Linked DNA regions of Mus musculus: region 1 is reported to be linked to region 2. Evidence: microRNA targets listed by miRTarBase, many of them from high-throughput screens and not tested one by one. Region 2 holds a microRNA gene; the other region holds the end of a gene's coding sequence.
Evidence for each region. The annotated mature microRNA mmu-miR-7068-3p reads UCACCCUGGACUGACUCUCAG and lies in region 2 at 5,250-5,270, opposite strand. An mRNA with a match to its seed (bases 2 to 7 or 8) in the 3' UTR can be bound and repressed. Matches are read on the target gene's strand: a 7mer-m8 pairs with bases 2 to 8, a 7mer-A1 pairs with bases 2 to 7 and ends in A, and an 8mer does both.

Region 1: the mRNA of Akap5 is a reported target of mmu-miR-7068-3p. Seed matches in the 3' UTR shown: 7mer-m8 at 5,276-5,282.

The regions. Positions count from the first base shown.
Region 1 is chr12:76,326,793-76,339,568 of GRCm38, forward strand. Akap5 (A kinase (PRKA) anchor protein 5) reads left to right here. Exons shown (of 2, transcript NM_001101471.1): 2 at 774-7,359. The coding sequence starts at 1,025. The coding sequence ends at 3,262. Among named protein-coding and RNA genes, the nearest start is that of Akap5, 8.3 kb to the left of the region's middle.
Region 2 is chr8:72,464,767-72,477,542 of GRCm38, forward strand. Mir7068 (microRNA 7068) reads right to left here and starts at 5,323; the gene lies at 5,250-5,323. Cherp (calcium homeostasis endoplasmic reticulum protein) reads right to left here and starts at 10,467. Exons shown (of 18, transcript NM_138585.3): 1 at 10,292-10,467; 2 at 9,846-10,019; 3 at 6,105-6,289; 4 at 5,324-5,461; 5 at 5,098-5,249; 6 at 3,609-3,720; 7 at 3,434-3,523; 8 at 2,997-3,276; 9 at 1,617-1,792. The coding sequence starts at 10,316.

The DNA of each region.
Region 1 (12,776 bases), not on the chromosome of region 2:
TTTAAGAGTAGAGAATGACAGCGATGCTAGATTTTTTTTTTTTCTGAGAGTATGTATGGAAAGTAGCGCCTCCTTGGTGAAATGTATGTACATTTTTAGAACAGAAACCTTATGCTACAATAGAACGAACACCAGAGAGTCAGATTTTCTACTTCTAACTCTGGCTAGGTCCTCATCTAGCTGAAGGCTTTCTGCAAGCTCTAGCTGCCCACTGGGAGCTCACGTTGATCATTAATTCATCGTGAGCCATCTCCCATGTCCCTCGTAGTACCAGCGTTCTTCGTGGTATGTGATGAGACAGTACTCAGGCTTCCCTACCACACTGCCCTCTCTTTTCTTGTTATTTGCTAAACTTTCCATATGGGACCATAAACAATTCTTGGAGAAGATAACTGGGCACACTAGCAGAGTGACCTCAAACAAAATCTGAGCAAAATGAGTTCACACTCAAATCTTTTTGATAGGGTAAAACCAAGCCTCGCTTTTTAGCCCTAAGTTGTTGTAGTATGTACTTTCTGTGGAATGCATGCACCATATGATACAGTTTATATTAAAAATAATAGGCTTCCTCCAGGCAGTGGTGGCGAACGCCTTTAATCTCAGCACTTGGGAGGCAGAGGCAGGTGCATCTCTGAGTTTGAGGCCAACCTCATCTACAGGGTGAGTTCCAGGACAGCCAGGGCTACACAGAGAAACCTTGTCTGGAAAAACCAAACAAAATAACGTAATAAAATAAATACCCTGAAATAAACCCTACTTTTTTCTCTCATCAGGTTGGGCTTCAAATAAAGAAGAAGTTGAGCCAGGAAAGTGCTTTCATTCAAAGAGTAAATTAAAAGAAGACACCGTGAGGCTCAGATAAACAAGGCGTTCGTGTCCTGAAGAAGTCACAGAAACAGCTGTGGTGTGAGGGGAGAGTGGACACGTAGGAGAAATCGGAGCTGGTGTGATATTTCTGTCACAAAAGACTTTCGGAGGAAGGGAAAAGACACGTTTCTAGAGAATGAAAGAGTGCAGCGTCAAAATGGAGACCAGCGTTTCTGAGATTCAGGTAGAGACGAAGGACGAGAAGGGACCAGTAGCAGCCAGTCCTCAGAAAGAGAGGCAGGAGAGAAAAACAGCCACACTCTGCTTCAAGAGAAGGAAGAAAGCGAACAAGACAAAACCCAAAGCCGGTTCCAGGACTGCTGAGGAGACAAAGAAACATACCCCCGAAGCTGGGGGCTCTGGTCAACGGCAACCAGCGGGTGCCTGGGCCTCCATCAAAGGCCTTGTGACACACAGGAAAAGGTCCGAGCCTGCAAAGAAGCAGAAGCCGCCTGAGGCAGAGGTGCAGCCCGAGGATGGGGCTCTTCCTAAGAAAAAGGCAAAATCCAGACTTAAGTTTCCTTGCCTAAGATTCTCAAGAGGGGCAAAGAGAAGTCGTCATTCCAAACTCACAGAAGATTCAGGCTACGTCAGAGTCCAGGGAGAGGCAGACGATTTGGAGATAAAAGCCCAGACCCAGCCAGATGACCAGGCAATCCAGGCTGGGTCTACCCAGGGCCTACAGGAAGGTGTGTTGGTGAGAGATGGTAAGAAGAGCCAAGAATCACACATAAGCAACAGCGTCACCTCGGGAGAGAATGTGATCGCCATAGAACTGGAATTAGAAAACAAATCTTCTGCTATCCAGATGGGAACTCCTGAGCTGGAAAAGGAGACTAAGGTGATCACGGAAAAGCCAAGTGTGCAGACGCAGCGAGCAAGTCTACTTGAGAGTTCAGCAGCAGGCAGCCCTCGGTCAGTGACTTCTGCTGCTCCTCCATCACCAGCAACCACACATCAACATAGTCTGGAAGAACCCAGTAATGGCATCCGGGAAAGTGCCCCAAGTGGGAAAGATGACAGGAGAAAGACTGCTGCTGAAGAAAAGAAATCAGGAGAGACTGCACTGGGCCAGGCAGAGGAAGCTGCAGTTGGCCAGGCAGACAAAAGGGCACTAAGCCAGGCCGGAGAAGCTACAGCGGGCCACCCAGAGGAAGCTACTGTGATCCAGGCAGAGAGTCAGGCAAAGGAAGGGAAACTGAGCCAGGCAGAGGAAACTACAGTGGCCCAGGCAAAGGAAACTGTATTGAGTCAGGCAAAGGAAGGTGAACTGAGCCAGGCAAAGAAAGCTACAGTTGGCCAGGCAGAGGAAGCTACAATTGACCACACAGAGAAAGTCACAGTGGATCAGGCAGAGGAAACCACAGTGGGTCAGGCAGAAGAAGCTACAGTTGGTCAGGCAGGGGAAGCTATATTGAGCCAAGCAAAGGAAGCTACAGTTGTTGGTCAGGCAGAGGAAGCTACAGTTGATCGGGCAGAGGAAGCTACTGTTGGTCAGGCAGAGGAAGCTACAGTTGGCCACACAGAGAAAGTCACAGTGGATCAGGCAGAGGAAGCCACGGTGGGTCAGGCAGAGGAAGCTACTGTTGGTCAGGCAGAGGAAGCTACAGTTGATTGGGCAGAAAAACCCACAGTTGGTCAGGCAGAGGAAGCCACAGTGGGTCAGGCAGAGGAAGCTACAGTTGGCCACACAGAGAAAGTCACAGTGGATCAGGCAGAGGAAGCAACAGTGGGTCAGGCAGAGGAAGCTACAGTTGGCCACACAGAGAAAGTCACAGTGGATCATGCAGAGGAAGCCACAGTGGGTCAGGCAGAGGAAGCTACAGTTGGACAGGCAGAGAAAGTCACAGTGGATCATGCAGAGGAAGCCACAGTGGGTCAGGCAGAGGAAGCTACAGTTGGACAGGCAGAGAAAGTCACAGTGGATCATGCAGAGGAAGCCACAGTGGGTCAGGCAGAGGAAGCTACAGTTGGACAGGCAGAGAAAGTCACAGTGGATCAGGCAGAGGAACCCACAGTGGATCAGGCTGAGGAAGCTATATCGAGCCATGCACCAGATCTGAAAGAAAATGGAATTGATACAGAGAAACCGAGATCAGAAGAAAGCAAACGAATGGAGCCAATTGCTATTATCATTACTGACACTGAAATCAGTGAATTTGATGTTAAGAAGTCTAAAAATGTTCCTAAGCAATTCCTAATTTCAATGGAAAACGAGCAAGTGGGGGTTTTTGCTAATGATAGTGATTTCGAGGGGAGAACTTCAGAACAGTATGAAACACTCTTAATAGAAACAGCATCTTCTCTCGTCAAGAATGCTATCGAGTTGTCTGTAGAACAGCTGGTTAATGAAATGGTTTCCGAGGATAATCAAATAAATACGCTGTTCCAGTGACTTCGTTTCCAGGTCACGAAAAGAAAGGGGGGAAAAAAACCCTTGAAAGATGAATTCTTTTATCCCTTTGTGGCACTTCTTTCTCAGTAATAAATTAGAGGCTTATCATCTGTGGAATCTAAGGGTACAGTTCCAGCCCAGAAGTGCTAAAGGATCAATGAAGGTTGTAAAACTCTGTCATTGAAACACAGTTCTGGACTGGAGGGAGTCAGCACAGATCACAGTGCGAAGTGACTTATGGGGAGGTGTGGAAGTGGCAGGCAATAGCCCAGTGCTTTGAGGAGGGAAGACTACTGAGCACTGGGTATGCTATATGGTTCTTTAATGTCACTAAGTCTGGGTTTCTTTCTGATGGTTCGACCCTGGGTTATAGGTGAACGCTCCATTCGCTTTCCTTTTACAGGGTCTTCCTGCTGTCTCTAGTGGTGAATCAGGTGAGTGGGCTTTTCTAGTCTTGAGCAAGTTCTGTACTAAAGGTGTTCATGGGTTCCTTCGGTCAGGCCAATAGTTAACACATGTGTAGGCATGGACACAGGAAGTGTGTTCTCTCCCCAACATCCCTCTGCCCAGAAGACCTGTATATACCCATCTGTGAGTGAACCTTTCTCCTGAGAAATCAAATGGGGAAGAGTATATTTTTTATCCAGGAGGCAAACTTCCCAGGTAGCAAAGGATTCTAATAGCAGAGCTACTTCTTTGGGTTGTTTTTTTGTTTGTTTGTTTTTTCCAGATAGTATTTCTCTGTGTAACCCTGGCTGTCCTGGAACTCGCTCTATAGACCAGGCTGGCCTCGAACTCACAGAATTCCGACTGCCTCTGCTTCCCAAGTGCTGGTCGAGATTAAAGGTATGGGTCATCATCGCCTGGCTAAAGGGCCAGGAAACCGTAATATTCTTGTGAAAATAGTTCTTGGCCAAACATAAACTATGTAATGAACTGAATAAAAGGTCAAAATTCACACTAAAGCCTAGATTTTCAACACCAGTATTTTTCATTTTGTCTAGCCATAACACTGTAACATACTACCCAACCCCACACGTTAGGGTCCATATTGTACAGCACCCCCATCCCACTATCTAAACTAAGTGATACTGTTTCTACTTGTTACAAAAGATGTGGTACACATGGTACAATGTCTGTTGAGCATCTTCTTGAGGCATGAGCACCACTAGTTGGTTTGGTTGTTATTTTTGTTTTTTGTGTTGTTGTTGTTTTCAAGACAAGGTTTCTCTGTGTAACCTTGGCTGTCCTGAAACTCACTCTGTAGACCAGGCTGGCCTCCAACTTAGAGATCCGCCTGCCTCTGCTTCCTGAGTGCTGGGACTAAAGTCGTGCGCCACCACTGTCCAGCGAGCACTGCTTATTTTCATCCACTTTGCACTTACACTGTGTTTATGGGCTGCATATGTATACACTGCTTTTTCCTATCTTTTATTTTGTAAATACATATTGTGATCTTGTGCAAAAGTAACTAATGTGGCTTTGAAAATTAACCAAATGGTGGATGTTTAGCAAGATTCTTGGCTGGAATGTGAAAATATTTTCTTCAGGCTTGCCTATCTTCATGTTTGTAATGGGTGATGGGGTATCATTCAATTTAGATAAAAACACAACACCCCTTCAATAAATTTATTTTAATGGTTTTCCTCTTAGACATAAAACTAAAAATCACTCCTAAATCATCTTTGAAAGAATATTTTAACCCACTGTATATGGTGCTAATAGACTTGTATAGATAGCTACCAGCAAATATGTTTAAAATGAACTTTTAAAAGCCTGGTTAAAGTTGGTACACTTTGCAGTACTTTAAACAATTCTGTATCTATTTACTATAAGAATGGCTCCAAGGAGAGCCACATTACACTCACATTAAGGTTTCTAATCTCTTATGAATGAGTAAAATCTATAAGATACAAGCTCTTAGTTATTGAAGATATTCTGGGTTTGGAGATTTTGAAAAGCAGGCACAAAGTAAATTTGTAATTTTGGGGGTAAGATAGTAGCCCTGGGTTTCAGGGTGTGTGTGTGTGTGTGTGTGTGTGTGTGTGTGTGTGTGTGTATGTTCCCTACACTACTATTTGATAATTATACCTTTGGTTAGAAGGTATTGTTATAATTGATTGTTTTTATAAGAAAATATATTCTCCTTCATTCTTAAGTATTTTCTCTGGCTTTTTAAAGCATAATTCCAACCTGTAAGCAGAATGCAGAAATTCATTAGTGGGTCACAACCCTAAGTATCTGCTATGTGGCCAAATGATAGTGAATCTTAGGGTGGTCCAAACTATTCTGTTGTTATAAAAATAAGAGATGGCTTGGAAGTCTGCCATCATTTTTTTTTTTTTTTTTTTTGGTAATGGGATGTATTTCAAGCAGTTTGACTTTCTATGCAAACTATATAGAAAGATTCTGACTCAATTTACACCCTTGTGGCCTTAAACGGACCCATTTAGATGCATCAACTTAGGGTAGTCACATTAATTTTCATTGAAATTTGCCTTTAATGAACATTAGCTAAGATCAAATTTCTTCTTGAAGTCGGAAATTTCTAAGGCTGGGGGCGTCTATCAGATCCTTGATAATTTTTCAGTGTCTTCTCTTCACCCCCTGAAGTCAAGCGTTATTCACACAGCACAGAGGATACAAGCACTTGCCTCGATCTTTTTGTGTGTGACTATTCACTTAACATTTGTTCAGCGTACTTTTTTAAGATATTAAAAATAGTCCCCAGTAACATCTAAGTAAAGGCAGCAGAAAACAAAAGACCTTTCCAACAGAAATCATGTTCCCTGCCACCCCCTCCACCTCCAAGAATAATAAGCATGTGGCACAAATGGATCTCTTCAGAAAAGCTGTCTGCATAATTTTCCTCCAGGTAACGGGCTTGACAGCATGAAGATGGGGATGATCTTAATTGGTCTACTACTTAGTGGAGTCTTAGACACGGCTTTACTTCTGAGAGACAATGCGGTCTCGACAGTGTATCGAGAGAGGCTTCGTGCTTGAGACTCATTAGCTCTGTGGCCTATGAGAAGGCCCTGGGGCAGCCTTGCACATGCATCCAGCCCAGAGTTCATTTCATCTGCAAATGTCTGATTTCCAGTTGCCTTATTATTTTTTTTTTATATAGCTGAGAATTGTTTTTAGGGGGTTGTGGCAGAATTTTTAAAATAATTGTTAGACTTTCAAACCCTGTTTTTTGAAAAGTTCCTTTAGTCAGCTTCACCGAATAAGTAGTCTACTTCCTGGTTAAATGCTAAATGCACCAGGATTTGACTTTTATACCTGCCAGTTTTGCACTTTTAGAATACCTTTGTTTAAGTTGTAGAGTTTTTTTTGTTTGTTTGTTTTTTTGTCTTTGTCCAGAGCTGAGGACCGAACCCAGGGCCTTGCGCTTGCTAGGCAAGCGCTCTACCACTGAGCTAAATCCCCAACCCCAGTTGTAGAGTTCTTGAGGTTCAAGTTCCTGTTTTACAGCGCAACTAAGTTTCTTACATGAAATTGAAAATTTCAATCCATTTTGCATTTTATCACACATTTTTGGAAAGAATTTTTGTAATGATCCTTGATGACCAAAATTTATTAGAATGACTTTACATAAAGTATGGGTGCCCCAATAAAGTTGGATTCAACACGTTAACACCTGTCAAAGACTATGATAATAGGCCTCCTACAGCTCATCCTGGGTAGGGTGTGTGTGTGTGTGTGTGTGTGTGTGTGTGTGTGTGTGTGTAAAGGAGGTGGCAACAGAAGCCAGGACAGGGGTGAGGCAGAGCCACCGACAATGCAAAAGGGGAAGTAGAAAGGATGGAGAAGTTGGGGTCTGAACATAAACCGTATATCTCCTCTGATTTGTGACCAGGTGCAGGAGAAGGCCTGATAATGTCACATATGTCGGTTCTTTGCCTGTAGAAATGTTAAGTGGACGAGCCATCAGAACCATAAGAGTACCACTTTGTATCCTCATTGAAATTAGTACTACTGTGACTCAAAAGCTGATAGTAAAGAAATAATACTCTGTAGAGAAAAAGGTTTCAAGCTGAATTGATTCATGTACTGACTAATACAGAATAAATGTTATATTAGCTCATTTAGTTAACTGTGTCTTTAAAACTGGTAAATTATGTTTATTTCCTAAAACTGTAAAGATCACCCAGATGAGGACGTTTAGTTCTATAAAAAGTTCCACTATGCTGGTGACTGAACAAACATCACAACACGACACACCGGAGGCCACCTCCAGCAAAGAGATGCAAACAGAACTCTGATACAACCGCAAGAGCTAGGTCTGAATCTGATGCCATTTGAACTTTGGGCCCTGGAACCTAGTGACACAGTACTTGCTGCATGTATAATGTAGCAGGCTACACGTCCAGTTCCCAGGACCTTAAAAATGAACCAAACCAAACAAACAAACAAACAAGAAAGAAAGAAAGAAAGAAAGAATGAATTTTCTTACTGGACACATGAATTGCTTTTCTGTATTATTAATTTTTTTGTTTTTGTTTTTGGAAACAGGGCTTCTCCATGTAGCCCTGGCTGTCCTGAAACTAGCTTTCTAGACCAGGCTGGCCTCAAACTCACAAAGATCCACCCACCTCTGCCTCTTGCCACCAGCCTGTCTTTTCTGTAGTTTGTGTCTATGAATTACTATATATTACTATGATGTTAATAATCCCTCCGGTTTCTTATGTAAGCCATGGTATGGGAGGATTTACATTATTCACATGACACCAACTTTACTTTGCTGTTCCATAAGTTGGATTTCCTAAAGCCCTAATTTCATTCTGCTATCAATATTATTTTGGTTGTTGTGTGAGGCAGGTGGCCTTGAACATCTGCCTGATCCTCGTCCCCCAGTCTCCTGAGTGCTGAATTACAGGGATGTACTACCAGGCTTGGCCTCTGGTTTTGTTTGTTTTTTAATTTTGTCTTGTTTTGGTTTTTTTCCTAACAACAACCTAATAGTAATAATTAGGTCCAATGACACTCTACTTTCCAAACCTCGGGACCCACTGAAAAGTTGATAGAACCCTCGTGATCCTGAATCGACAGCTGGCTGTGGACTTCCCTTACTGCCTGATGTTGTACAAGCACCACACATAAAGAATGTCACAGTCTTCAGAATTGTGTTTTATTTTTGTTATTACTATTATTATAATTTGGGGCTTTTTTTGTTTGTTTGTTTGTTTTTGTTTTTTTTGAGGCAGGGCCTTTCTATGTAACCCTGCTGTCCTGGAACTAGCTACATAGACCAGGCTATCTTTAAAAACACAAAGCTTTTCCTGCCTTGGCTTCCCGAGTACTGGGATTAAAGCCATTTGCAACCACACCTGGCTCTTTTTTTTTTAAGATTATTTTTTTTATGTATGTGAGTACATTGTCATTGTCTTCAGACACACCAGAAGAAGGCACTAGAGCCCAATATAGATGGCTGTGAGCCCCCAGATGGTTGCTGGGAATTGAACTCAGGATCTCTGGAAGAGCAGTCAGTGCTCTTAACTGCTGAGCCATCTCTCTGGCCCCCACACCTGGCACTTATGAACTTTTAAAAAGTTTTTTTTGTTGCTTGAGACAGGCATATGTAGCTCAGGCCGTCCCCACACTCGAGGTCCTCCTGCCTCTCCCTGTACCTCAGGAGTGTTGTGATCACAAGCATGTCGGCACACTCAAGCAGGTTTGTGAAATTAACTTGTCTAGTAGGAGCACTGCCATTTACAGACTGTGTCCTCGTCACCATGTATGCTAACTCTTCACAGACTCAGCTTTAACCCTGAAGTCTGAAGTCCCCTGACCCACTCTTGCTTTGGTTTTCTGGGGGGGTTAATTCATGAGTTTAGGGGACGAAGTAAATACTCAGAGCACATCACACAGAAAATGCTCAGCCCAGTTGGCTCAAGCCTTGTGGGCAAAGAAAAATCCAGAGAGGAAGGGGCTAGGACTGCCAGCCAATCAGAATGGTACATTACCTAGCATTAGCAAGACTCCATGTCCTTTGTTTTGTGGCTAAACTCAAATTGGACTTGTCGCCCTGCCTTTCTTCTCGGGTTTAAGAAATAAGTTCAAGGAGACAGGTGGGAGCAAGGGCACCTTGTCCAGGGATGTTTGAAAGTTGGTGCATGACAGATGATCGTTGTCTGGGCCAGAGAATGGAGTGGAGTTGAGCAGGTTAGATTTGTAACTGTGCTGGGACTCAAACCAAGGGCCTCATGCTCTACCGAGCCGCATTCAGAGCAGCCACGACCTTCGTGACCATGCAATCAGTAGGCAGGATTAAGCGTCTCGAGCACCTTTCATTTACATCCCCGAGCCTTCCACGTCTGCTTTCCTGGGAGCTACAGCAAACAGGAGGGCACCAAAGTGGATGCAGTCACTTGTAACTGCACACACCTTTGAGGGGAGGAGATACCGAACACTGAGTTGTGAATTTGCACATTCACCATGGACTCTACAACCCGAAGCCTGCACTGACATCTTTACCTTCATGTGACAAGGTCTGGTCAGGATTATCATCAGGGTGACTCTGGGCCACATTGTGAAGAATCGTTCCTATGCCTAATGCAACCTGGCAAACAGATAAGAACCTAAGATGTGCTCTGTGTGGAATTGGTGTTCAGAACAAGGGCTTTGATCAACAGGAATGTCACATATCTAACAGAGGTCGTGCCAAGCGGGTGTGTCTCTAGCCAGGATTGCCCTTGCACACTCAAGTGCTGAAACGGAGCACTGCACAGACAGAATGCTGGGACCAATGGCCACCACTTGGTTCAGGTGGAGCTAGCCAACCCCGTGTGAGCTCTCCACCAGATGTGGCATGCAGCTAGCGGTGAGCCTTGATTTCAGAGGATAGTTTCTTAGAATCCTCTTTAATTTTCTGGGCTTTCTCTAATTCCTTGATATTTTGCCTATTATTTTTCCTAAAGGATTAAATAATTAGACTCATTTAACTTTTTCTTTAAAAAAATTATGTTTGTCTATGAATAATGTCAGACATAATTCACAAAGCATTTAAAAAAATCTACCGTTTTTATTTAATTATAATTTTATGTGAGTGTTCTGCCTGCATGTATGTGTTCATCACTTGCATGCCTGGTGACTGTGGAGACCAGAAGAGGGTGTCAGGTTCCTGGAACTGGACTTACAGAGGATTGCAAGCTTCTATGTGAATGCTGACAACCTAACCCAGGCTCTGCAACGGCAACAAGTGCTCTTAACAACCGGAGGCAGAGGCAGGCGGATTTCTGAGTTCAAGGCCACCCTGGTCTATAGAGTGAGTTCCAGGACAGCCAGGGCTACACAGAGAAACCTTGTCTCAAAAAACCAAAAAAAAAAAAAAAAAAAAAACAAAAAAAAAAAAAAAAAAACAAAAATAAAAACAAATAAAAACAAAACAAAACAAAACAACCGAGCCATCTGTCTGTCCAGCCGAACGTCTGACATTCTTGCCTGCACATCACAAGTGTTGAGATTATAGGCATTATAGGTGTGTGCCTCCACACCATGTATGTGGTGCTAGGATCCAACCATGGCTTTGCACATGCTAAGCAAGTACTCTGAAAACTGACCTCTAACCCCAGCCCTACACTTTAAATGTTAGCTTTATATACTGTTAGTTTATGGTGGGGGGTTTCTTTTGGCTCATGGTTTGAGGGTGCAGTCCATCACTGTGGGGAAGCGAGTCATGGGCTTCTTCAGGTAGCGGCGCTCACTGCCTCCACAGTCAGGAAACAGGAAGGATGAAAGTGAGTGCTAAACTGAATTTCTTCTATCTATTCAGTACAGCACTCCAGCTGACCGACTGGTTCTGCCCAGAGTTAAAGTGTTTTTCCACTCAGGTAACCCGACCCAGGTAACCTCTCAGACTCAGTGCCTAGAGGCTTGTCCCCTGGGTTATCTAGGTCCTACTCACAATCACAGTTAATCCCAGCCAGAGGTGGTGGTGATGGTGGGGTCTATGAGTTTAAGGCCACCCTGGTCTACACGACAGTTCCAGGGCAGCCAGGGCTACACAGAGAGACCCTTTAAAACAAACAAAACAAAACGAAATAACCAGCGCGCCGGGCGTGGTGGCGCATGTCTTTAATCCCAGCACTCGGGAGGCAGAAGCAGGCAGATTTCTGAATTCGAGGCCAGCCTGGTCTACAGGGTGAGTTCTAGGACAGCCAGGGCTATACAGAGAAACCCTGTCTCTCGAAAAAACCAAAAAAAAAAAAAAAAAAAAAAAAAAAAAAAAGAACCAGTGCAAAAGCTACCTGAGTATTTTTAGTTTAATATAATTTCCTGTGTTAGCAAAACTTGCAATTTGTGCAGAAATCCGAAATAACTTTTTTGTTTGGTTTGCTTATTTTCAGATGGGATTTCTATGTGTAATAGCCCAATCTTAGTGTTTAAATTGGGAGAGCCAGGTACTCGACACACCCTGCATCCACTAATAAATTAATAAACAAGAACAAAAGCCCAGGAGAAACCGAGGCTGGCAGGCCACGCTGTGCAGTTATACACTAACCTCAAAGCATTCATCGTGAGCTCTGTTCACCAGGGAGAATTGAGTGTCCTCTCCGGCCACTGTGGTGGCTGTGTCGCCCTCAGAGCAGGAGGCATCCACACAGGTGTGGAGGACTGGATTTTCCCCTTTTATGCTTTTCCTCCTCATTTAAAACCCTGATTGAAATGAGGAGCCCGGGTTGGGGGAAGGGGGGAAGGGGGGTGCAAAACCCTGGGTTTAGTGCCCAGTACTGCATAAGGGAGGGTATGTCTGTGTGGGTGTCTGTGTGTGTGTGTGTACACACACACATGTAAATTTAATCTGGGTATGGCGATGTCTACCTGTTATCCTTGTACTCCCAAGGCATGGAGACCCAAGAACTGGGAGATCAAGAGAAACAAACAAGCAAACAAACAAATGAATCCGGAAGCACTCCCTAAGAGCACTGGAGACTACAGACTTGTGGGGGCGGAGGGTGCTGGAGGGCAAAATTGGCCCAGTAATAAGAATTTTAAGTTTTCCCCCGCCTTCCAAGGCTTTGGTGTGCATTAAGGAAAATTTCCTTTACATTCATAACTTTAATCTACATGGAATTTGGACTCTATACAGCTTTTAGCATAGAAAAATGTGGTAGAGTTGAATTCGCAAGTTTCCCTTCTTCAAAGGCTTATGAGGCCCACGAAGATCTTCTTCTCTGGACCTTCCTGAAAGTCAAATAGCAGGCAGCCACAGATGTGAGGCCTACCTGGCTGCTTAGCCCTCCAAGGGACTAAGCGTATACAGGAATCCTCCATCAGGTTTCCAGCAAGAGGGGGCACCATGGGACGGAGAGCTTGAGGGATACTTTGTTTCTGTTATTTTGATACAGAATTACCAAACTGTTTCAGCTGGAAAAGGTTTGTGTAAGCTAGGAGACAATTTATCTGAGAGAAAATGGGGTCATTTCTCAAAGAGGGCTCGGCTGTACAGAAACTTAAACACTCAGGAAAAGTCCTAGGAGAATACTCGCAATGACAGTGAGAACCGACA
Region 2 (12,776 bases):
CTGCATCATAACCCTACTCGTCCAGAACATTGCCTAAGGTTAGCCTGGAACACCTGTCCTTGTTTCTTTTTCTTTTTTCTTTTTTTGGTTTTTCGAGACAGGGTTTCTCTGTGTAGCCCTGGCTGTCCTGGAACTCACTTTGTAGACCAGGCTGGCCTCGAACTCAGAAATCAGCTTGCCTCTGCCTCCCGAGTGCTGGGATTAAAGGCGTGTGCCACCATGCCCAGCTTGTCCTTGTTTCTTTAGCCAGGTAAACAGATGCATGTGGCTCAAGATATTCCTAGCTACTGCTCAGACCACTTACAGCAGGGATGACAGAATCTTAGATTTGGGACAGGAGTTACACAGGAGAGGTCCTCTGCCACTCCCAAGGCAGCATGCTGCATGACCCATGCTAGGCTGATAGGGTGCTCTTTCAGGCTTCCAAGAGGAGAAGAAGGCTGTAATCCCAATAACAGAAACAATCTCTAAGGTGCCTTGAAGGCAGGATTAGAGAAGCCTGGTCAGTATTAAATAGGCATTGGGGTGGGGTGGAGGTGGCACTCTAGTTCCAGGACAGCCTGGAACCTAATCCTACATCAACTTTCCAAAGACTGGGATTAAACATGCTCCCTTGTCCTGGCTCCAACCCCACTTCTAAGGATGAAATTCCATCTACCTGGACTGCTTACTCACCCCAGACCTCTAGTTTTATTGGTTGAACTGCCACACTGGCTAAGAAACCTCAGTGGACCAGACTTCTAGCCCCCAGATCTTACTGAGCTTACACAATAAGGCCTGTTCCCTACCTCCCTCAGAGGTTCCCATGTGCCCACCCCATAAGGTTCACAGCTGGCACTTCCAGGACATGGGTGCTGTCTACAAGGAGTATCTATCTCATGTCAAGTAAACCTGCTAGTCCTGAAGCTGAAGGGTAGAAGGCTCAGATTTGAGACTTGAAGCTCTTAGGGCAGGGCCACATGCCTGGTACCCATCAGTGTCCTCTACAGTCAAGAGTCACCAGAAAGGCCATATTCAACAGATAAATAGGCCATGCCCTATTGAGGGGAAAGCGTATTACACCTAGATACTCCAGACAATCTCACCTAGCAAATTATAAATTAGTTTTGGTCATGTACCACATGACCGCTGCTGCCCTGTCTACAAGTCTGCTACTCTGAGCCACCCAGAGTCTTGGCACTGCAGCCACCACCTACAGATTCCTAGAGAAGCCCACCACTTCTGATCTTCCTTCAGTCCCTTTATGAGAGACCTGAAAGCTACACTAGTAAAGACAGGCAAACAAGGGCCTGAATAGCCCACATAATGGTAGCACGGAGACAGGGCTTTGCCTATGCTCTACTGTCTTTCAGCTACTATGGCTGTGCCTGCCTGCTGCCCCACAGGTCCTCATTAGGTGCAAGCAGCCCCCCCCCCACCCCCCCAGACAGGGATTCTCTGTATATCCCTGGTTGTCCTGGAACTCGGATCTATAGACCAGGCTGGTCTCCAACTCACAGAGATCTGATTGCCCCTACCTCAAGTGCTGAGATTAAAAGCATGTGACACCACTCCCTGATGTGGGCAGGCTTTTGACTCAGCCATATGTGCATGCCCCAACAGATTTTAGGAAATACCTGCTGTTGACCCCAAGGGGCAACTGGGTGAGGCTGATCAAACCAAGGGGGCTTGTTTGGCGGGATCTGCTCATGGGGGCCAGGACCTCGAGGGCCAGCAGCTGCAGGATCCTGGACACCTGCAGAGGTGTCGTACTCTGAAGAGCCAGGCATCTGGATGGGAGGCTTGTTGTCATCTAACACAGGTGACATACAATAAGAGGCAGCTAGTCAGCAGGAGAGGCTGTTGACCCTCAAGCACCCCCAAGCCAGCCCAGGACAGGACTTGTACTTCCTAAGCTCACTGGAAGCCACCCCTCCAAATGTCACCACCACCCCCCTCTAGAGATCCAAGAGCGGAGGGACATTCTCTATGCTCATGGCATGTCCTGTCTTGTCTATTCACAGAATTATTGAGTTATTTTTTTTGTTTGTTGGTTGTTTTTTTGTTTGTTTGTTTGTTTTTGTTTTTCGAGACAGGGTTTCTCTGTGTAGCCCTGGCTGTCCTGGAACTCACTTTGTAGACCAGGCTGGCCTCAAACTCAGAAATCCGCCTGTCTCTGCCTCCCGAGTGTTGGGATTAATGACGTGCGCCACCACCGCCTGGCAAGAGTTACTTTTTAAGTAACAGCTGTGTGCTTACAGGCATGCACATGGGTGCATGAATGGTGGTCATAGGGCAACTCTTGGCAGCAGGCTCTCTCCTGCGACCCTAGGGCTCAATCCAAGGTCATCAGATCCTGTAAATGAGTTTATGCCTCCTGAGCCATCTCTGGCACCCCATCTGTTTGAGTCTCTCAATGAATTTGGAGCTCACTGACCATTCAAATGAAGTCCTCCACGTGCATGGAAAGCACTTTACTGACTGAGCCATCCCTGTACCCCCAGTTAAACATTTTCACCTCAGTCTTTGGGGGAATAATTTGAGGTACAGTTTAGGCTGGCCTTGAACTTACAGGATTAAGATCACAACCATTAGCTACCATGTATGGCTAGAACTCTTCTGAGATACTGATTCTTGCCTTATATCCCAGTCTGGTCTAAACTCCTCCTGCCTCAGCTTCCTAGCTGCTCATTTCAGATCTTATCCAGGTTTCTTCAGATGTGGTCCTTTACACACATACACATGTACACTAAAACACTAGATATAGGCATGTAACATGTGTGTCTGTCTAGGACTCGGCTCTATGTGTTGAGCCCACTCAGCCCTGGACCATAGTTTCAACCATGCACCAAGTGTGGATTAAGGTGCAAGCCAGTCGGGAGTGTTTACCTGGTTGGACACATAAGCAGATCAATCTTGGCCCAGCAGTGGGCGGGCTGTGGAGCAGGTGTCCAGGAGGGAAGAGTGCTTTCTGTCATTTGGGGAAGTCAGTTTCAAGAGTGGAGGGAACCTCATACCTGGCTGGGTAGTTGGTGGGATGGTGGGGGCAGGTGCTGAGGCTGGTGGTGGTGCTGGTGGTGGGGGTGTGGCCTTCACATCTGCTTCCATCTGAGGCAGCTGAATCTGTGGCTGTGGCTGTGGCTGCGGCTGCTGCTGCTGCTGTTGTTGCTGCTGCTGCTGCTGCTGGGCTAAGCTGCTGACGAACTCTTCATGCTGTGTCTTGAGGCTCTGGATCTGCTGCTGGAAGGCCAGCTGCACAGGCTGCACCACTGACGAGTACTCATTGATGAGAGTCGCCTGGTGGGGAAGAACAGGAGCACTGCCACTAAGGACACCAGCCCAGGATCCCAAGAGCCAAAGGCTGTGTGTGATGCAGCCCGACTCATCGATGAAAACAATAGTGGGCAGTTTTAAACGTCCTGATGATGGGTAGCTCCCGCTGTGTGATGCTCACCTGATACTGACCAAGTCCCAGGGCAGGGCTCTGCAGTTGCTGAATGATGGAGTCATCAAAGTAGCCGTTCTTTTCCCAGAGCTGCAGGAGCTGGTGCAGAGGGAGACTTGTTAAACAGAGCTCACATCACCCAGCCACCTGCCTGCCCAACCACCCAGCCCCAGCAGCCCCATACCCGGGCAATCTTCTGCTGTTTGTCCTCCTCCACAGCCAGGAAGCTGGTGCAATAGATGGGTACTACCACCTTCTGCAAGGCAGCCAGCAGCTCCCGGGCCTGCTTGCGCTGGCTGTGAGGGAGAGACCTTCCGCGCGTCAGGGCCCTGGGGCAGGACCCAGCCACGCACCCGTTACCATGCGGCTGTGGCCACAGCACCCTCTCCTCAGGAAATGCCCCCCACCCCAAACCAGAGGGCAACAGCAAGACTATCTACAGTGTAGGTGCCTTGTCTTAGGAGACAGGTAGAGGCAGAGTGTACACTCCAGGGCTATTCAGAACAAGACCTTCACTATTAGAAGGACTCATTAGAGCCCTTGCATGTGTGTAAAGGGTGAAATTGGGCCGTTGTGGTTAGGACCTGGTCACTACTATGCACAAGCAGGTTCAACAATCTGCTCAGAAGGGATTCCCCAGCCTCATAGGGCCACTGAGAAAGCTACCGGGAGCCTAACCACCCATGAGGATTGTGGTCAACACAAGGCACAGCATTTGCCTACCAGGTGCCAAGGCCCTGGCTTCCATGCTCAGTGCCACTGAGAGGGGATAAAGGGAAAGAAGCAGCCAAAGGCAGCCCTTCCAGCTGTGCAGTATTCAGGCCTCGGGAGTAGTAGTGGCTCAGCAAGACAGCCCATATGCAGACCCAGGAAAGGTGCAGGCAGGGACTAATAGCTTCAGCTCCCACAGCTGAGGTCAAAGGGCAGCAAGAGTTGGCCAGGAGGTAGGCAAGGGAAGGCAGTGCAGGTCAGAGCTTTGTGTGAGCCGAGTGAGGAGTGTCCCAGGGAGTGGGAGAGAGGCCATCTGCGCAGAGGCCCTACCTAAGAGGCAGGAGCAAGACACCTTGAGAGGAAATAGAGTACAAAGCAGGAGGGTGTGGACACAGCCTGACAAGGAGGGGTCGCATGAAGATAGTTAGGGAGAAAGATACCAGCTTCTCCTGCTCTCATGGGAGCCATATATACTTATCAACTGTCCTAGCCTCAAGATCATGCTGAAAGCCAGAGGGCAGCCAGCCCAGCTGACTGTTGGCATGTGTCACTAGCATGGGACCTTTGCACCTGTCTCTGACCAGAGTTCTGGACTCTGTTTTCCTTCATCAACTTCACCCGCTGGCCATGCAAAGACACACCTACCAGGCCCCAGGAGGCTGGAGCCAAATACAATGCAAAGAGAAGACTGATGGAGAGAGGATCAGCAAAGGTAGCCCTAAGACATGGAAGAGCAGACAGTGCATCGGCCAGGTGTCTGGCTATGCAGACCGAAGCAGACACATGATGGCTACAGAGGCAGAGAGGAGGCAGCAGTGCCCAAGGCCTGCCTTGTGGGGTGCCAGCCACTGTCCTGGGAGTACAAGCAGTGAACCAGTGTGCAAGTGCAGCAAGGGTGGAAACTGGAGGAGTTGGGGGTCCCTGACAGGTGTGGGCTCTGGACCAAGTGGTCAAGTACTTACCAGTGGTGCAGCACGTCATTGATCAGATAGATGAGGTGTAGCCGCAGCTCGAAGTGTGCGCCATCAGCAGTGATGCGGTTGCGCAGGTGGCCTGCCATCAGCTCACAGTGTGGTGGGGACTTAGCATTGCTGAACATCCAGTTCTTCCCAGCCTGAGAGTCAGTCCAGGGTGAGTGGGTGGTCAGTCGGGCAGGCGACGACACCCCCACCCCATACTGAGCCTCACCGAGATGGCATCCTTTGTGCAGGTGTCAATGATGGGCTGTAGCAGGTTGTCAAACTCGCTCATGTCCAGTTGTGTCTCTTCCAGCAGCTTCTGCATTTGCTGTTCCACTGCATGTGCCACGGCTGTCGTTACTTGCTCCTGGGAAAACCACAAGGGACAGGTGGTATGAGCAGGGCCCTTGCACAAACACTGGTATCGTCCATCATCACAGCAGGCAAGGCAGCCTGGCCTAAGCTAACAGGAAAATGTGAAGGAGGCAGGGTGCTCATGGATCACCTAAGCAGAGCAAGGCAGGGGGTAAAGGCTAACACATGTGCCTGTGACCATTTGGGAGGCTGAGGGCAGCTTGGGGAGATGCTATCTCAAAACCAAACCAAACCAATCTAAACACAAGCAAGTAAATAGTAGGTATAGGTCACCAAGAGTAGAGGCTGGTTCTGCTGTCTAAGACCTAACTGTCCAGACTATGACTGATGGTAAACATCCATGCATGATATGTGATGGTGGTAAGCAAGGAAACCCTGAGTGGGGCTGGCACTCAGGTCTGTATGTCTTCTCTCCTTTCATTTCAGGTAGCTCATCCCTATAGAATTTGGCAACAGAACCAACCTAAAAGATGGGGCCAATAATGCCCCTCCCTACTCATTAAGAATGGTAGGTACCTAAGCCGCCATGTGTTGGCATCCACAATGGGTACAAGTCCACTGAGCGATGCCTGTGGATGACCCACAGACCTACTGGAAGGTGACTCCAGGGTCACTGACAGTACATGCAGGCATACCTGGCGCAGGGCCAGCAGGTGCTGTTCCTGCTGCTGGAGACTCCACTGGCTCTGTTGGATGAGCTCGTCCATTGATGGGGTGCCCTGGGCCGGAGTGAGGGACGCTGTGGGAGCCAGCGGAGGTTGTGGCAGAGGGGGCATGGCTGAGGTGGGCTCCAGCTCTGGGGCCTGCTGCTTGCAGATTACTAGCAGGAAAGAGATGGGCCTTGTGAGCTCAGGGGGTGCCCCAGGTTCCTTTTGGTGATCCATCAGGTTGCCCTCCAGAGAGAGGACCTGATGGATCCACTGTCCACCGCACACGGCCATCCTGCCCAAGCTTCCCTGTTGTGCTTGATCTCACTGTCCCAAGACAGGCTGACCCTTCCATCTTCCCTTCTCATGCAGGCCTGACCAAGCTACTATGCACTGCAAGCTATGACCAGGGCTGGAGATGTGGCACCTCTCCCAAGGTGTGTCTGTCCCAAGCCACTGGATCCTAATCTCCCCTTCACTCAAGACAGCCAGCATTCTGGAGGTCTGGCCAGTACACATAGGGCTGGAGTGCCCCCAAGACCAGCCCCACCTCTTGTGGCTTGTGGTGACCGTCCCAATCTGCAGCCTTTGGACTAGCTTGAATCACCAGCAACACCCTGGTATGACTGTATATGAGGCTGGCATGTACCCAGATAAGGTCTCTGGAGAGGAAGGCCCCTACTCACAGGTACGACTTTAACAATATGGCCTCCTTACTCTCTACTTTTAGGCCCTGCCTGCCTCAACTGAACATAGCCACACTCTTAGGAGCCTAAGACTCATCAAAACAAATGACTTTGGATAAAAGCAAAGAAAGACAGTGTCACCTAGGCTTTAATGGCACCCTACATGTCTGCCTGGTTCATACTGGTTCATAAGCTCCAGATCCCATATTCCTTTTGGAAGCTCCACTTTGGAGGTGTCACCATGGGCCATTGGGCTTTCACAGACTTAGGCCTCTCAAAGTCCCTGCACTGCCTCCCAGTCGAGTATAGCAAGCCACTCAGATGAGCGGTATACATACCCTCACACTAGTCAACAGCATGCCAACTACATGCACTCTTCCACATCACTGCTATCGATCTGCCTTTGCGTGTATCACACCTAATAGGAAACTGTGTTCTACACCAGAACAGGCCTCTACCACAGCAGTCAGAGTGGCTTGTGAGCAGCCTTGAGTGTCAATTGCTATGGAACAAGCAACACCCTACAGCTCACATTTTTATTGTACTTTACAAAAACAAGACCATGATAGGAGTAGAATTTTTTTTTTTTTTAAACTAGAAAAGTTTTCTTTGTGTAGACTGTCTTAGAAACTCTCTGTAGCTGGGCAGTGGTGGTGCATGCCTTTAATTCCAGCACTTAGGAAGCAGAGGCAGGTAGATTTCTGAGGTCTCGCCCAGCCTGGTCTATTAAGTGAGTTCCAGGATAGGCAGGGCTACACAGAGAAACCCTGTCTCAAAAACCAACCAACCGGGGCTGGTGAGATGGCTCAGTGGGTAAGAGCACCCGACTGCTCTTCCGAAGGTTCAGAGTTCAAATCCCAGCAACCACATGGTGGCTCACAACCATCTGTAACAAGATCTGACTCCCTCTTCTGGAGTGTCTGAAGACAGCTACGGTGTACTTACATATAATAATAAATAAATCTTTAAAAAAAAAAAAAAAGAAGAAGAAAACCAACCAACCAAACAAACAAAAAAGGGAAAAAAACTCTCTGTAGACCAAGCTAGCCTTAACTCAAGAGATTCACCTGCCTCTGTCCCCCGAGTGCAGGGATTAAAGGTATGTACCACCACACCCAGCTGACTAGTGCTTTACCACAATTCTTACAAAATGTCATTCTAGAACAGTCCTGGGTTTAGTTGACCTGAAGCCCTTTCTGAGCCTTGTTACTTCTAAGCAATGCTCATAGCTCCTCAGCAAAGCAGGTCCTCTCTACTGCGTATCTCCCTTGTGTCTAAACCCAATCTCTCTTGACTTCCACCACCCACCACCCTCAGCCTGCCTTGTCCCTGTCATGTCCAATATATTCATTCTACTGTGCTATGGCTGGCAGAATGTCCTCTTGTCTCCCAATCCCTAATGTGCCAAAGCTTACATGTATTCTCCATTTCCAGGTATGTTTTTTTTTTTCATTTTTTATTAGGTATTTAGCTCATTTACATTTCCAATGCTATACCAAAAGTCCCCCATACCCACCCACCCCCAGGTATGGTTTTAAGTTGAAAGCCTAAACAAGTGACTGTACAGGGGTGGGCACAGGCTTCCTGTATAGGGATATATAATAAGGCACGGTCTAAACTCCTTTCACTTACCATCCCTTACCCATCCTCAATGGCTCTACCTTCGACCTCTCCCACTTCCATGTTCATGATCACCACCTTTCCTAATTCCAGTCTGTCCACTAGAACACACTGCTGGAATCTGTTTCAACCGCCATCAGCTTTAGGATGGCTATGAACTTGGTGCTCTGGGGCTAAGGAATGACCTCTCTAAACACGCATGAGGACACAGACACTCTGATGGTGATGTCAACCTCTACCACAACTGAATAGGAACCAAAACCTTATGATCAATAGACTCTAGTCCTACCCCTCCTTGGCATATGAAAAACCCCTCAGTTCACATGTGTGATGTCTCCTCTCTGAATACATACCTTCTTCAAGTCCCTGTGCTCCATGGGCTCAAGTCTGCCTGCCCTACAAGCTTTCTATCAACCACCTACAATACATTGCTGGAGTATAACCAAGTATGTTTGGCATCAAAGAGGACTGTAGCTCAGCCACTATCACTCTGACTACTCATTGGCTTTGCAAGTCCAGACACTTATTTCCACAGTTTATTCAGAGACTAGAGAGCTACCCTAGATATGACAGATGTGAGTTCTGCTCTCAGAAACCATAAAATCTGCTGTTACTATTCAAAGCTTGGGTATGCTGAAAAGCTGATGCAGGAAGGCTGCTTTGAACTGGAAGCTAGGCTGGATAACATACTGCCAGGCCAACCTGGGATATGGTGTGAGGCCCTTAAAGACCAGCTGTGCTTCTTCACTCATTTTCCTTTTTCTTTTGTTTTTTTTTTTTTTTTTTTTTAGGCAGTCTATGTAGTCTTGCCTGTACTGGAACTTGTACAATCAGTTGGCCACAAACTCACAGAGATCGACCTGCCTTTGCCTTCTAAGTGTTGAGATTAAAGCGGTGGTCCCATCATCCCTGGCTCTAAACTTTTTATTATTTCTATTATTTTTAATCATATTTTTCTTGATGTTTAAATCTAGTTTACAAAACTAGCTCTAGAACAGTCAGGACTACACAGAGAAACCCTATCTCGAAAGCAAAAAAAAAAAAAAAAAAAAAAGGAAAAGAAAAACGTTGCAAAAACTAAAGGGAAAGCTTTTTGATCTATGCACCTGAAATGCAGAAAGCTATGGTCTCAGCCTGCAGAAAGGCTGCACAGTTTGCACAGTTCCCACCTTCCTGCAGATCCGCAATTGCCTCTGCAAAGACCACCCAGGGACCACTCCCGACCCAAAAGCCTGGATAGAGAATATATGATAGTCTCTCCTTATGACACACAGATCCAGCAGTCTATCTTGGTACAGGGCTCCGGGTAGGACAGAAGAACGGCTGCTCTGCTCTGCAGAGGAAACTTGCAACTCTAAAGAAATTGGCTGCGGCGGGGCCCGCATTGAACCCCGAGGCGGCTGAGGGCCTGAGGGGAACTCACGCTGTTGCTGCTCCAGTGCCAGCTTGCACTTGTAGTAACTGTAGAACTCGCCTCCAAACAGAAACGAGAACTTAGGGTTGTCCTTCTGCTTCTCCATCGTCATTTTCTCGAACTCGGGTCCGTTGCGAGCCACAAACTGAGCGAGCTTATCGATGACATTTCGAAGCTCCTGATCTGCAAAACAGAGGAAAAGGCGTCAGTGGGGGCAGCCTGACCCGGGGACCAGGCCGGGGTCCTCTGGGGCGGGCCACTGCAAGGCGGTGGTGTACGGGTCCTGACTAGGGCCAAGCGCGCGCCAGGAATGCGGGGAACCACGGAGAGGCCGAGGGAGGAGCGGCGAGGCCGCAGCGCGCTCCGTCACTGGCCCGGCAACGCGAGGAGGCACGGCTGGCCGGCGGGGGCACACGAGAAGAACCCAACGACCTCAGCTCAGGGACCGGCCTCACCATCTGGCGGCATCGGCATCTCCATGGCTGCAGCCACTGGCAACGTCCTCCGCCGCCTCACGATCGCTTACCAGCACCGGCCACAGAAGCCGGCCGGAAGTGGCGCGAAGGGCGACGTTTACGACGGCCTCGCGGGCCGCTTCGCGCGCCATTTACGGCTGTCGCTGGGAAACACCGGAAGTGAAGACCGGAGGAGGGCGGGAAGGGACTGCGTGAGGACTCCAGAGAAGGATGGCCTAGTGAGACGCATGCGCGTGAGCCTCTTTGCGCATGCGGCGGCCCGGCCGCTGTTCCCCGACGCGCTGGAGCGTGAGAAGCTGCGCCGGCGGTACTCTGGGTTTCTGCTGCGTTCTTGCGAACGCGTGCACTCCCAGGCCTCTGCGTCTTTCACATCCTTTTACGCCATCCAGAAGGCGGGATCGGCAGGTGATGGTTTTGGCGAATCACACCTCACTCGGCTCCTGTTCCGATATGCTCCTTCTGGGTAAGAATTTTGAGCATTGGGGCTCCACAACATCACATCAGACCGACGTGGAGCAAAGACATCTCTTCTGAAGCGACTATAGACGTTCTATGGAAGGAGAAGCGGAAGCTGCGTCAACACCCCATCCCTTCTGTTTATTTATATTATTACTTACTCCTGGTTTTTGAATATTAGGTCTCATAGAGCCCAAGCTGATCTCTAACTCCCCACACAGCCTTAGATAATCTTGCACTCCCGATCCTCCTCTTAGCTCTTAAGTACTGAGATGACAGGCGTGTGCCACCACCACACCAGGGTTACAGGATACTGGGGATGGAAGACAGGACTGGCTGCATGTTAGGCAATCACTGAGATATACCATCGACCTTTAGAAAGAAAAAAAGATTTATATTTTGCCGGGCATGGTAGCGCACGCCTTTAGTCTCAACACTTGGGAGGCAGTGGCAGACAGATCTCAAGTTCAAAACCAATTTGGTCTACAAAGAGTTTCAGGATAGCCAGGACTATACAGAGAAACCCTGTCTCGAAAACAAAGGTTTAATTATGTGTCAGGTGGGTTTGTGTACGTGACTTCAGGGCCTAAAGAAGCTGGAAGCAGGCACAGGATCTACAGCACTGGCATGATTTACTTTCTGAGTTTGTGCTGGCCACTAAGCCCTTAGTGATCCTTTGAGCCTGTTATGCCAGGGTCTCCGACTTTTCCTAATTGGATATTCTTACTGCTGGAAGCACCACACCACGATTATATGAGGAGGAAGGAGGAAGTTGAGCCTAGCAGGTATCCTGATCCCTATGCCCTTCCTGTAACTCCTGTCTTGCCTGCTGTGAAGCCCCTTTATAATGTCCTACTCTTGGAGCTGCAGAGATAGCTCAATGGTGATGTGCTTGTCATGGGAGCAGGACCACCTGAGTTCAGGTCCAAGAATTCAGTGTAAAAACCAGACAACAGCAGCACAGGCCTGCAATCCCCAAAGACTATTGTGACCTTGTAGGGACTCTGTGTGGCTCACAGTAAATAGAAGTCTGTATCTGCCCGGACTGTCTCCCTCATGCTCACCTGAGATAGTTCCAGAAGATTCTTTTTTCTTTCTTTCTTTCTTTCTTTCTTTCTTCCTTCCTTCCTTCCTTCCTTCCTTCCTTCCTTCCTTCCTTCCTTCCTTTCTTTTTTTTCGAGACAGGGTTTCTCTGTATAGCCCTGGCTGTCCTAAATATCACTCTGTAGACCAGGCTGGCCTGGAACTCAGAAATCCGCCTGCCTCTGCCTCCCAAGTGCTGGGATTAAAGGCGTGCACCACCACGCCCGGCTCAGAAGGTTCTTGCTGATGGAATGGGATCTCCTTTCAGAACATAGTTGCCTTCTTTCCTGACAGAGCCCAGGCTGTAAATTCTGTTAGTACCCAGGCTGCCTCAGCTAATAGACCATGCTTTCCTGGGTTACAACTCTAGCTCAAGCCTGTATCTACTGAGCACTGTGCTTTGACCAGGGTTCTGGGCCAAACTAACTTACTGATAAAACTAATCCTCTCCTATACCTCCACCCAGGTCCCTTCAGCAGACCCAAGCTCTCCATAGTTCTGTCCTGTTCCAGCTTACTCAGCCTTTCTCTCCTTGACAGTGTGGGACACTGAGCACTGTAGAATCCAAAATAAGTTCAAGACCACCTAGCCCCTTCTCCTCTGAAGGGACTTCCAAATTATATAGTTTTAGTGGTCAAAATGACTAAGCCTGCAGCTGCCAAAACAACATTAGCAGTTCTCAAAGAAATTCCCCTACCCCACCCCACACTGAATTCTGAGAAAGACCACACACCACCCTGACCTTGCTGAAATTTCCCCTGATGTTAATGGCTGTGAGTTAATACTTGTGACGTTAATAGCTAACCCATAAGTTCAAAACATACTGTTGCTTTGCTGAAAAACAAGGGCAGGCAGAGTGAGGGGCTAGGCCAAAGGGTTACTTAGTCACTATGCAAACCAACCAATGCCTGAAAAGGTTGTTACA